Linked DNA regions of Caenorhabditis elegans. The protein of the gene in region 1 purifies or fractionates together with the protein of each later gene. This does not show direct contact. Each region holds a gene or a part of one and is shown on either strand. Other genes may lie near its edges.

Region 1 (4,916 bases):
TTTACAATAAGCATTTTATTGTAAACCGTACGCTGAGTAGCCCCAAGTTTCTAAAACATATATCAGATCTTGAATAACGAGATGTCTGACAACTGATGATTCATGAACTACCCACATAACATTATCTCCTCCCGCCTGACCTAACTGTCCTGTTAACAAACTTTCGTTCCTATTTATTCTTCTTGTTTCTATCCCTCTTATTCAGTGTATTGTATTTATGATCTATTATGTGTACATTTTTCTTTTTTCTTCAACTTTTTCCACGTCTCTTCGCGAGCGTAAATAAATAAATTAAGTAATTAATATCTATTTACAATATAATTTATAAATAGTATATTGCTATTTATATATTGTAATATGAACATCTTCTTACATAATTTAATTTGAAAGAAATGTTCTGATTTTCTCGAAGACACCCAATCCCTTTTTTAAGCAAGCTTCAAGTGTTTTCTCACACGTCATACATTTATTATTTTGTCGTCCGTATATCTACGTTGTCAAGAGATGCATCTTTCCGTTCTTGTATTGAAGATTTATTCATTCGTCACCAAGAAAAAACGACCAATCTTTATTTTTGAATTCGGTCATTTATTCTCGATTCTTTGAAAAAAAAAGCAAATACGTTATCTTATTCTTCAATCATCATTCTCTTTTTGTGAGAGAAATGGGTGCTCATTATCCGAAATGTAGTTTCCAGTCAAGAAATCTACAGTATCATTCAACGCTGTCTCCCATCGACGTGCAGCATCTTGTTTGACGTCATCCGAACCTTCACTCAGTGTAAAAAGTAGAGACTCGATTCTGGAAATGATTAGAAATTTTATTTAATGGGACTAGTGTTCTGAAAATTTGGGGCAACCTAAAATGCCTTGAAAAATTATTTTCTTGAAAATCCGGTAAAACACTATTTTATAAAAAATATCAAAAGTACGACAACTTTTTGGTCTTTTAAAACATTTGAAAATTTGAAACCTAAACTCACCCATTGATTAGAACTGTAGGTTGATATTCCTGGAACCATCTTTTCAAATCATGCAGTTGATACTTTGGTGGGTAATAGTCAACAAGTGCATAAAAATAGACTTGAAATATCTAAAATTAAAACAAATTACATCAAAAACATCTGGTGCTCTGCCGTTCCCATAAGACTCTCGAACCCACTTTCATGAACTTTTTTCGTCGAATGTCGACATCTGCAGATGAAACAATCAAATTTGCTAAATCCTCCACTGGATTTCCAAGATGAATGTTCTAAATTAATTAGGTTTTCGTTGTTGAAAGATCAAAAGTAAAAATTATAGTAGAACGCAGTTTTTTCTATTTTAAAAATAATTACGTACTTCCCATTCTGTGATCTCTACCAAATTCCCATCCTCATCAAATCTGCAAATCTCAGCTGTCAATCTTCCATGTGCGATAACATTATGTTTTTCCTTTTCATCTGCATCTTCATCTTTCCAATCTTCCAAGTAATGAGTCAAAATTCCAACTTTTTCAATAACTGAGGATGGATTCATGAAGTAGTCTGCAACTTCTGTAGTAGTTACTGCTGTTTCCAACACTTCAATCAATTCTTTTTGAATTTTCTTTTTGAATGATATGATGTTTCCATAATTTTCTTGCACATTGAGTGAGAATTGTTTATTGATAGTTTTTGAGTTGACAGCGTGTAACTTTGCAATCTGTGAGGCAACTTGTTCCAATTCTGGTAATCCCAATTTGGTACGAACACTTCCTTTCTTCAAAAATTGAGTAACATAGACAGAATGTTTGTTTTCATCTTCCGTCACAACAAACGATCGATTAAAATGTGCACTTGGAATAGGAATCTTCTCAAACGTTGATATCTCATGCCAGAAAAGTGAATTGTAGTAGGCGGCAAGCTTGCTTCCTTCCTCTAGTTTCACTATAACATCTTGATCATCTCTCACCAAATGCACTCGGAAGAGGCCCTCCGCTGTCTAAAACCAGAAAACGATGATATTCTAGAAGGGCGGGAGAAAGAAATTGGCCTCATTCAAAGGTCATTCAGTATCACATTTTGGCACATTTCTTTCGAATTTGGAACAATTTCGTAGAAAGTTTAAATCTAATCCTAATACTATACTTCCAATATTTTAATTATTTTTTTTTGTTTCAACCGTATTGAGTTCAATTTTGAAAAACTTGTTTATTTAACAATATTTCCGTTTTCTTATCAGTAAAACAGGCAGTTAAAAATTTCCACAAAAAACGTCATTAGAAAATGAAACGACTTGAACGAAATTTCCTTATAACCGGAATAATCTTTGTGCTCATTTAACTCCCAATATAATACACTCCATCCAAAAACACAAACATGAAGTATTAATTTTAAAGAGGTAATATGGAATTAAAAAACATGAAAGCTTTGTACGAAGACAAAACATTGGAAAGTAATTCGTACTAGCACCTTTAAAAGTGAAGTTCAAAGATAATTTCACAAGCAACATTTTCGAAAATTTTTGAAATTAAACATTAAAAATTGTCTAAAAATATCTTAATCTAGCGTTGACGGTTTTTTCTAATCGTTGAAAATAATAGTCAGATTAAGAGAGTCGACAATGTAACGTATACGATTTTGGCATCATATTTGCAATATTTAAAAAATTTGCAAAATCCTTTTAAAATTTGAGCCATTAAAAAAACTAACAGTAATAGGAGTTACAATAATTTTATAGTACTTGATATCTGTAGTACATTTAAATTTTGAGTTAAAAGTTTTTGAGATTTTTGCAATGCCCTCAAATAGTTCCTATTGGTTTAATATATGAGTTTTCAACTATGAACTAATTTATAAAGTTACCTCTAACTCCACGGTTGTGACACCATTGATAGTGACAGTAGGATTAAGTTCTTTAACTCGAGACAATCCAAGTTCCTTTGCAATTAATGCAGTGATGAACATAATAACTTCTCTGTGAATCAACCAACAATGCCAACACTGATATGTCCTTCTTCTGAAAATGCAAAGAAAAAAGGGAGGAGAGGGAGCAGGTGGACGAGGTCTTGTTATCAGTGATAAAAAATGCGGGAGAAAAAAGCGAAGAGAATCGAAACTAATGACACTGTCCCGTTTATGACTTTGATGATGGGCGACGACAATACTTGCATATTTTGTGTTTCGTAGAGCAAATAACATTTGCAAACACATTTTATAGCAATGAAAAAGAAGAGGGAGTGAGTCACGAGCTGAAATTTTGAACGAAGATCATAGGTGGTAGGTACTTTGCTAATGTGGTAACCATTTGAAACTGATATTTATCCGAAAATTATGAAGTGGGCGGCACAATTCTGGACGTAGGATATCGGATATCAAACTAGTGGGTGGCTGAAATGAAGACGAATTTAAAATTTAAAGTTCACGTTCGAAGACATATAGGACATCTGCCAAGTTGGCACTACATGTATCACATTAAGTTTTCAGAAAAATTGCGATATTTTCTCTCTAGGCTTGCTTCATGTAATCGAGTTTGAAATCTTCTTTCATATTTGTTTCTGGTTTCAATCTTACTGGCTAATATTATTATCAAATCAGTAATAATTTGGCGAATTTTGAGCTAGGTTTATATTCAATTTATACTGGAATAATTATTTTGAATCGTAATGTTGTTTGTGTAACGGTTTGTAAGCTTATAATTTGGAAAATCCTTGAAATTTTTCGTTGGGTAAATCCGCGCTAATTTTTTACCCCGCGCAAAAAAGTTCAAAAGTTCAGAATTGAGGCCTTTCCATTTTACATGTGATTTCCTAAACTCTAAAAATAATTCCAAAATTAATTTTAAGGAAATTTGAAAACAATAACCTCAGGACACATTTAAATTATTGTTTTCATCCGTATAGAATTGAAAAAAATCATTTTCATAAATACCTATTTTCGAATTAACGTTTTGTTTTCGTGCGTACTTTAATGTTCTTTCAATAGCCCATTTCATCCTTGCTCCGGTTGAGTTGACGAACGCCTTCAAAATGAGCCATAATTGAGAGCATTACTTTTTGATGCATTTTATTTTCCATTAAATGTTGTTTCTCTTTTTGTTGCGTTGTGCAGAACAATAAAAATACAAAACAATAATTTAACTTTCGATCCAATTAAAATTATTTTTTTTAGAAAACCAAAAATATTGATTCGATATAACGCTGTCTTAAAAAAAAATCTTATGAACAAAAACTTCATCTGAATTTCTTTTTCGTATTGTTTTGTTAAGAAACTGAAAAAAAGTTGTTTTTTTCCAAATCGAGGCAACTCTTGTTTTATCAATATCAGTTCATAATCTCTTCCCTTTTGTAAGTGGTAAATAAGAGTTTCTGTTTGTTTTATAGTATTAAATCACTCATAAATTGATACTAAGTAATCTTCCTTTAAAACTATTTTTGATGCCGCATTGAATATTTTTTATTCTGAATATTTCAGAAAAAAAGTTGCCATCTAAAAATATATCTAGTATTTTTAGGAACTTTAAGAAGTGCGACTTTGAAATGTGAATGATTTCAGACTTATCATGAAAAAGTGCTTAACTCGGTAGAATTTCCAGCCTGTTAATCAAAAAGTCACGCATCATTTGACCCATCCGATTGTTTGATTTTAGCCACTCCCTTTCTAGCATTTTAAAAATGCTTCATGACACTCAACTGACTCAATACGTCAACCCATTTCCTTCTCCTCCCACTCAACAAGTCAAAACAATTTTTGTGCATCACGAACAACCACCTCCTTGTTTGGTAACATCATGACGTTTGAAATGCTTTCACCTTTACAAATTTGCATGACACTCTCTTTGAATACTTTGGGTGTTTAAACCTAAACAGCTTATATTCTTTGAGAAGGCATCAATTGGTCATTCTTCAAATTCCTTGCTCCTCTAAGCATTGTTTCCTGTTGCAAAAACCGTGAGCAG
Region 2 (7,660 bases), on another chromosome or scaffold:
AAAAAAGGATAACTGAATTATATGCTAGCAGAGTTGAGCAATGGAGGTACAATCCTAATAGAGAATAGTATGTGACATTAGAAATTTTTTCAGGTCAGAATACGAAACACGAGCGCGAATCTTCAAGGAGCACCTGGAAGAATTACGTGGCGATATTGACGGCCTGAAACGAGACGGTAATGTACAAAATGGGCAGCATCGAGAGCATGATGCGGTTCATGCACAAAATGTGGCACACGGTTTTGATAAGTTCACGACGATGAGAATGGTAAGTAGATAATTTAGCAAGTTCTGTTAGCATGCTACCGTTCTGAACGGTTACTAAGCTGATCTCATGATCAGAAGGTCAAAAGTTCAAAAAGTTATTAAATCTCTTTTTCATCCTATTCTATTATATGTTAAGCTTCTAATTTATTAAAATTTCGCGCGTTTGGCATTTGTAAGTTTGACGCTTAACTTCGGAATATCTCCAGAAAAAATCAAAAAGCGCAAGCTCAATTGGCTCATCGGGTTCCTCCGATTCCTTGGAGCTCAATACTGTCGCTAGACATGTGGCGGGACGAGGGATTCCACGTGTCTCTACAGTATCCACTACGAGCTCGTCAAGTATTCTGAGCCACGTCATGATGCTGCATAGACAGCAGTCTTATGATTTGGGAAACACTGAATGGCAGGAAGCTGACATTTGAATATAGTGAGAAAATAGTGCCAGAGTTTGATTGTTGTGTGGTAGAGCGTGTTTGCATATTGACTAATTTTCCAATTATTGTTTTCTAACACTTGTTGATTGGTATTTTTGTTAGAGTTGAAAATAAACATTCATGGTTCAAGCGCTCTATGAATAAATTCAATAATATGCACACTGTAATTGTTTTTTTTTGACTTAAAATTTAAAAATCAGGAATCGCAACAATGAACGCAGCGCGAAAAATATTTCTTAGAGCGCAATCGTTACGTCGGGTACTGACACGAGATTATTTTTTCCGCTACAGTATCCAATAGTAGACGTTCCATCGTTTATTTGGAAATTCTTTTTCTTGAGTTTTTATGTTTTTGTAGTAAACCTATTCAGGGAAAATAAGATTTTCACAACAAAAACTCGAAAAATTTTTAAAAATAGAAAGAAACAAGAAAAAGCAAAACCCAGGGTACGGTATCTGAAAAGTTTCGCTCGCGCTAAGACTTTATTAATTTTATTAATTGATTCAAAAAATCACACATTTTTTAGTGAAACTATATCTTTGAATTTCACAAACCTGTCCGTCGGTGTATTTTGTTGTGATTTTTCAAATTTTGAAATGAACATTAGTGTGGTATTGATTGATTATTCTTCTCATTTTCCAATTATAATTTTCTTATAATTTCAGAGTATGCGAGGAACTCCACGACAACGAGCACAAGCTTTTGATGGAATGTGATAAGAAACTTTATGGCCATTTATGAACCGATTTTCCTTTTTTTTCTTCAGTTTTTCCCCATCCCGATAAGAGATAACCCCATTTTGTGCTCATTCAGTTTATTGATTTTTCCACACCCTTTTGCCATTTTTCAATCAATAATCTTTCGTGGCAAGACAAAAACGCGTATTTTTCTTCTTTTTTCCGAAAGGCATATTGTGTAAATATACATATCGAATGATTGATGAATACAGATTTTTTTTAAATGTTTTTTTATTAACTTAAAATAATGAAAAAATCTGTAATTTATTAATTCATTTCCAGCAAAAATGGGCGAAAAATTCAAGGTTTTCGTGTATGGAACCCTGAAAACAGGAGAGCCAAACTACAAGGTTCTGTCAGAAACTGACGGAGAATATCGGTAAGTTCGGGAGTACTGAAGAATTTTGAGTGTCAAATGTGATGCATTACTTCTTTCAGATTCATCTCATCTGGAACTACAGTGGAAAAGTTCCCATTGGTAGTTGGAACCAAATATAACATTCCATTTTTGCTTGATGATGCTGGGAATGGAAATGTGAGTTTTACAACCTGAAGTTTATTTAAACCGACGTACTTTGAAGCATATTGACAAGTAATTAAAAAAAAAGAACGAGAACGGAATCAGCTTTGGCAGGGAAACAAAGATGAATAAGGAAATTTTAAAGAAAGAAACAGAAAAATGATTATGCGCACGGTTTAAAGGGAGTATAAATGCCAAAAACTTGTTTAGATCCGAAATTTTTTTGGTATTCAAAATCTTTGAAATTTTTTTCTTTCCTTGAATCCGGGGACTGTGACAGGGGGAAACTAAAAATTGTAGGGGATGGGGATACTAACTAATATGAAAAAAAAAACAAACAATAATGTACATTATACCAGAAAAAAGGATATACATTGAGGATTGAAGAAAGGGGAATTCAAGAATCATTCTCCACACATTTCCGCTTTTTCATAGTATTTATTTGCGAGCTTTCCATTCATTGCTTCCATTGCTGCTTCAGCAGCTTCATTGAATAGACCATATGCTCGTTCGAAGTCTTGATTCAGGCCATAACCTCCCTCTTTGTACATTTCAGCCATTTTGGCTAGAATCTCGTGACGAGTCAGTGGAGCAAATGAGGAGAATGTCGTTTTTCCACAATCAGAGTCAAGTTCTTCTTCTTCTTGGAATCCAACGACGCGTTGATACCTACAAAATTTAGAATATTTCTCAAGTTTATAGAAAAAATGTTAAGGAACAAAATCATCCAAGAAGTCCAGAATAAAAATCGCAAATAGGTCATATATGATTTTCTTTTTGAAAAATACAACAAGTAGATTTAGTTTTTTCTGAACATATTTTTTGAAGGTTCCTAGTTTTTCTGGTTTTTCACAATTTTTCTTATAAAAAATGAATCAGAGACGGGTACTTCTATTCGAATTTTAAAAAATTTTCGATTAAAAAATTTCAATTTCAATTTCCAAATTTCCTAAATGTTCAAAAATTCAAATTTCAAAAAATCGAAAATCTTCGTTTTTTGATTTTTTTTTTCGTAAATTGAAATTTTTATTTAGAAGAAAAAAAATTTCCATCGAAACAAACAAAGTTTGATGAAATTTCAAATCTGTTAATTACATTCTAAATCTTTTTTTTCGATTTTCAATTTTCCGGCTATTCGAAAAAATTTTCAATTAAAAAAAATTAGAAGCTATAGCATCAAACATTTTAGCTTTTTTAGGTTTCTTAAAAGTATTCTCTATAAAGTCGGGTTACTGTATCTTCACTAGAATCTCATAAATTTCTTACCAATCAATCGATTTCTTATAATCCGTTCTTCGATTCGGTCCGAGATGCTGACCAGTTTCATAAGCGTGTGCCATGTACAGCATTGCACCCTTATCACCCATCTCTGCAGCAATTTCCATCAGATCGGAGCCGAACTCTTCTAGGTCTGAAAATTTTTGAATTTTGATAAAATACGGGATGCTGAGAACACTAGGATTGAATCTTTCAAAAAAGGAAACAACACGAAAGGTTAAATTGGGAAATCACAAAATAATTTTTAAAAAGCACACACGAGAAAACTTGATTCTTACCACAAGGTTTTTGTCCTTTATCAGCTGAAAAGTTGGAATTTCAGATTTAAAAGAGAAAAATTAACAAAAAAAGCTCACCTCGAATTCCATTTTCCTGTTCTCCAAACCCATTAGGAAACAGATCATCAACGGTGACTTCTTTCAACAATTCATGTGGTAATCCGAGAACAATATGAGCCGATGTTAGCACAGCCTCAAGGATTCCACACTTCCGAGCGATATCCAAATGGAAAATTGCAGACTGCTTGTCGTATTTGATTGGTACACGAGCGTCATTTTCACTTCCCTCAAGCATTTCCTTATGTTCTGAATCAACTTCTACGAACCGCCCGAGCTCATGATATCGTGAGAGATCAATATGAATCTGACCGAGGACAGAGAACTGATGCCCGGTGACTTGTGGTACGTCTTCATCATTTTCCAGGTTAGCAGCCATTTGTTGAAGTTGAAGTGATAGAATGTTTGCTGGAACTGATTGTTTTCGAAGAACCTTCCAGAATTCATCCTTTTCAGTGTCTCTGGTTTGTCTAGAACTATTCATAGAATATGTCCCAACAGAACTTCTGAAGCTATCATGTCTCTGACGAAGTGAGTTTAAATCTACAAATCCGCATTTTCTAGGACGAGATGCTGATTCATCGCCAGAAGATCTCGTTGAAATGCTCATTCTACTACGTCGACTTTTCTGACTATTTCCACTTTTTTCACTTCTTGGATAGTCTTCTTCTTCGTCCTCTTCATCTTCGGAGCAAGGCTCACAGAGTTGCTCAACAACTGGAATACACTCAGGACATACACAGTCTTCGTTGTGACTCTGAAAAATATAAAAATAGAATACGTTAGAACTTTTTTAAATGTTTCTTTCACCTTTGCTGACAAATCGGTTGACGATTGATTCAACGTCTTCCTTTTTCTCAATTGATCCATCGAAATACCATGCTCGACATGTACACATTCACTTGAAATTCGATTTCTTCTTGCTTCGAACACAGTTGGAGGAACTATGCATGACTTTTTCTGCTTTGCAGCTACTTCCATCGCAACTTCGGTAGCCTCGATTTCAGGTGGCGAAAGTTCGAAATTTGATAGATCCATTGTCTCACAAATATCGTTACATCTGTGTGAATGGAAGAAAAGAGCCATTCCACGAGTTCCGAGGTTTCCATCTCCATAATCAGTTCCCACAACTGTATGAATCTGAGGATCTGTGTAAAGATCACCAACTCCTTGAATATCGACAACCATCATTTGATGACCAGAACGTTCGAAGGTGAAGTGAGAAAATGCTTGTGGTGTAAGACGAGCTGCATTTGATACAAATCCTGAGTTTGAATTGTATTTTATATATTTTCCCTCGATGAAATGCTCCAAATGATAGAGTGGAGAACCTTTTACATCAATCATCTCAATGACACACATTTGAACAATATCAATTTTCTTCGGTGGATTATACCGATTATATTCTTCAGCCCATAATTTGGCATCCATCTGAAGTCTGACATCATCGAAAAGAACTCTACGATCGACTTGACAAATGTATCTTTTTGCGACATAGTTGCTGCTCCAATCTTGACTTGTTCCGTGCTTGGAGCACTTTTTGAGTCGGTAGCATTCTCGCATGGCTCCACGTGCAAAACTGTCCGGATGAAGTCTCACATCGACTATATCCTCTGTCCATTGCTTTCTGATTGCAGAATACCTATATCGTTTAGCTCGTTGTACTGGATACTCGTGGATGTTGAACTCATCCCATGGATCTATATAGTTTGTTCTTGCTCGGCGAGCAGCCTTGCGCCATGTCTCCATAAGTTTTCTAACGTGGAGAGGATCCATACGAGGCTTCTCGATAACGACATCATTCTGTTCAATGAACACTTCATCTGCGTAGTCGTCGGTTATCCGAACCATTTTTGACGCATTGAGCGAGAATGTCCGAGCCGAGGCCTTGAAAGTAAAAATTGTAGTTTGTTTAATTGAATTTTAATTAAATAAATTTAATTTTGTTAAAGAATTGTTTTCAAAAATCCCACCTCCAATCCTGGTGAGTTAGTTGGACTATTGTCGCTCTCATTTGTTGTGTCGATCGTCATTTTGCCCAGTTTGACTACTGAAACAACTATTTTGTAAATAATTAATCCAAATTTTTTCAGAACATTGAAGGAGAAATGTATGAAGTTTGCGAGAAGAAATTGAAGGTGCTCGATGAGTTGGAAGCCTACCCAACATTGTACGATAGAAAGAAAGTTGAGGTAAGTCAGATAAAAAAGGTTCTGTTTGATTTCCTACTGTAGATGTTTTTATTCTTAAAAAACGATATTACCTAGTTGCGAAAAAGATTTAAAGTGTAAAATCTATGAAATTGGGAAAAACTGGACGTGGAGAACTACCGTACTTTTTAAAGGCGCACTCTCTTGTTTGCGCTGAAATTTTTTGGTCGCGTTGAGACCAGGTATCGTATCAGAACTCAAGGCAAGTCAAAGGTCTTGTTTTCTATGTCAGGCCCAGACACTACTCATCTAATCACACCCAACAAAAAACGAGCATGAATTAAAGCGACAACGGGGGGAGAACGTGTCGAATGAAAGAATACTTGAAAGCAGATGATAGAGAAAAGAGAAGCAAACAAACATATAAACAGTTTGATTTCTGTTCCATCGAGATGCGTCACGTGCTGGTCAGCTGAGAGCTTTTTATGGAAATTTTTGGATGTAATAACAATATGTTTATTATGCATTCGTAAAAAATGGATCCAAAAGTAAATTTGATCTCAGTGAAAAGAAATCGATTTTTAAAAATAACATTCTGAAACGACCATTAGAAGTAATAATTGAAAATTATTAAAGGTTTTCCAATTATTTTCTGAATATTTGTTTCTGATAATTGATAATTGAGATTTATGAAATTCGTATTCACTTTTAGAACAATTTTAAGATTCAAACTGCAGAAGTTTTCTATTTCGAGCATTTTTAGGTTTTTAGTCTATAATCCAGTGATTTGTGTGTAGAGAAGAGTTGGGTAAATAGAGAATTACGAGGATCGAGAACCAGATTCGGAAGATATTATCTTTTTCAATGGAAAACATACGATTTTGGATTAAAGTCCGTAAATTGTGTTTTATAAATCATTTTTATAAATGAGATTATGCATTTTGAAAAGAAACAAAAACTATTTCATATTTTGTAAGTATTGTAGGCATTTAGAGGTATCTTCAAAAGTTCTATAAAATTATTTTTTAAAAAATCTAAAATCCTCCCCGATATCGGGCCCGATAGGAATAAATAGAGAAAGAAAAAAGCTCATAAATTATAATGGGTAATATTTTTTGAAGGAACATTCGAGAAACGTCGAGGAAAATTTTCAAGATCAAAGATTAAAAAATCAAAAGAACAAAAAATCGAAAATTACTTTCAATTTTAAGTTTTTCAGTTTTGCACGTTTTTGTACTTACAGTTAGACATTAAAGATAAAAATGATTTTTTGTGATTTGATAAAAAGGGCAGATGGTGAATAATATATCAATGAGAAACCAATCCTATTATTTTTAATGAACATAATAAATCATCTGGTTGAGTAGATTCTTGGAATATAAAAATGAAATATTCTGATTTCCTTGAAACTTCAATCTGACCGAGCCGAATGTAATAGGTCAAATGTGACCAATATCTCTCAGACATTTATCACTAGCACTTTAAAATAGAAACAGGAATCAGTAGACTCTCTGAAGTTGAAAAAAGACCGACGGAAAAACTGGGAGAAAACTACGTGAAGAAATGGAAAATCGAGAAAGGCCTAGAGGCACCCAGAAGAATGGAGAAAGGAGAAGAAGGAGAGACAATGATGAAGAATGAGAGATTTAGAGAAACAGACAGAGTGTAAACCGAAAAGAGATGGGTGTGCACATTTGACTTGGATGGATGAATGGTTGGGACCACTTGGTGTTTTTTTTGGCTGAAAAATATAGAGGAAGTTAAAATAAAGTGTATATGAAGGAACCTATAATTATTGATTTAGGATATTTATGGAATAGATAATATGAATGAGCTCATTCAGACAGCGCGGGTTACTGTAGAAAGTAGACACGAAATTTTCAAAAAAAAATGTAAACGTCTTCGACCGTTTGTTTTATTTTTCATTGTTGAATCATA

What was found. The genes of interacting proteins can lie anywhere in the genome.
Region 2: the proteins of C50F4.1 (region 1) and F42A10.9 fractionate together in Caenorhabditis elegans (co-fractionation; one large-scale study listed by BioGRID). This does not show direct contact.

Annotation. Positions count from the first base shown.
Region 1 is NC_003283.11:9,524,855-9,529,770, reverse strand, and holds C50F4.1 (CHK kinase-like domain-containing protein), read right to left. Parts: upstream 2,979-4,916; 5' UTR 2,927-2,978; coding exon 2,825-2,926; intron 1,962-2,824; coding exon 1,341-1,961; intron 1,252-1,340; coding exon 1,162-1,251; intron 1,093-1,161; coding exon 983-1,092; intron 802-982; coding exon 636-801; 3' UTR 521-635; downstream 1-520.
Region 2 is NC_003281.10:6,162,926-6,170,585, forward strand, and holds the start of F42A10.9 (Gamma-glutamylcyclotransferase family protein), read left to right. Parts: upstream 1-1,647; 5' UTR 1,648-1,726; coding exon 1,727-1,818; intron 1,819-1,877; coding exon 1,878-1,974; intron 1,975-1,980; exon of another isoform or gene 1,981-2,363; coding exon of another isoform or gene 2,364-2,628; intron 2,629-3,225; coding exon of another isoform or gene 3,226-3,370; intron 3,371-3,515; coding exon of another isoform or gene 3,516-3,539; intron 3,540-3,593; coding exon of another isoform or gene 3,594-4,329; intron 4,330-4,382; coding exon of another isoform or gene 4,383-5,459; intron 5,460-5,545; coding exon of another isoform or gene 5,546-5,605; exon of another isoform or gene 5,606-5,622; intron 5,623-5,665; coding exon 5,666-5,764; intron 5,765-7,660. Other genes in the region: nfm-1 (FERM domain-containing protein), read left to right, coding at 94-268, 474-689; efk-1 (Eukaryotic elongation factor 2 kinase), read right to left, coding at 2,364-2,628, 3,226-3,370, 3,516-3,539, 3,594-4,329, 4,383-5,459, 5,546-5,605.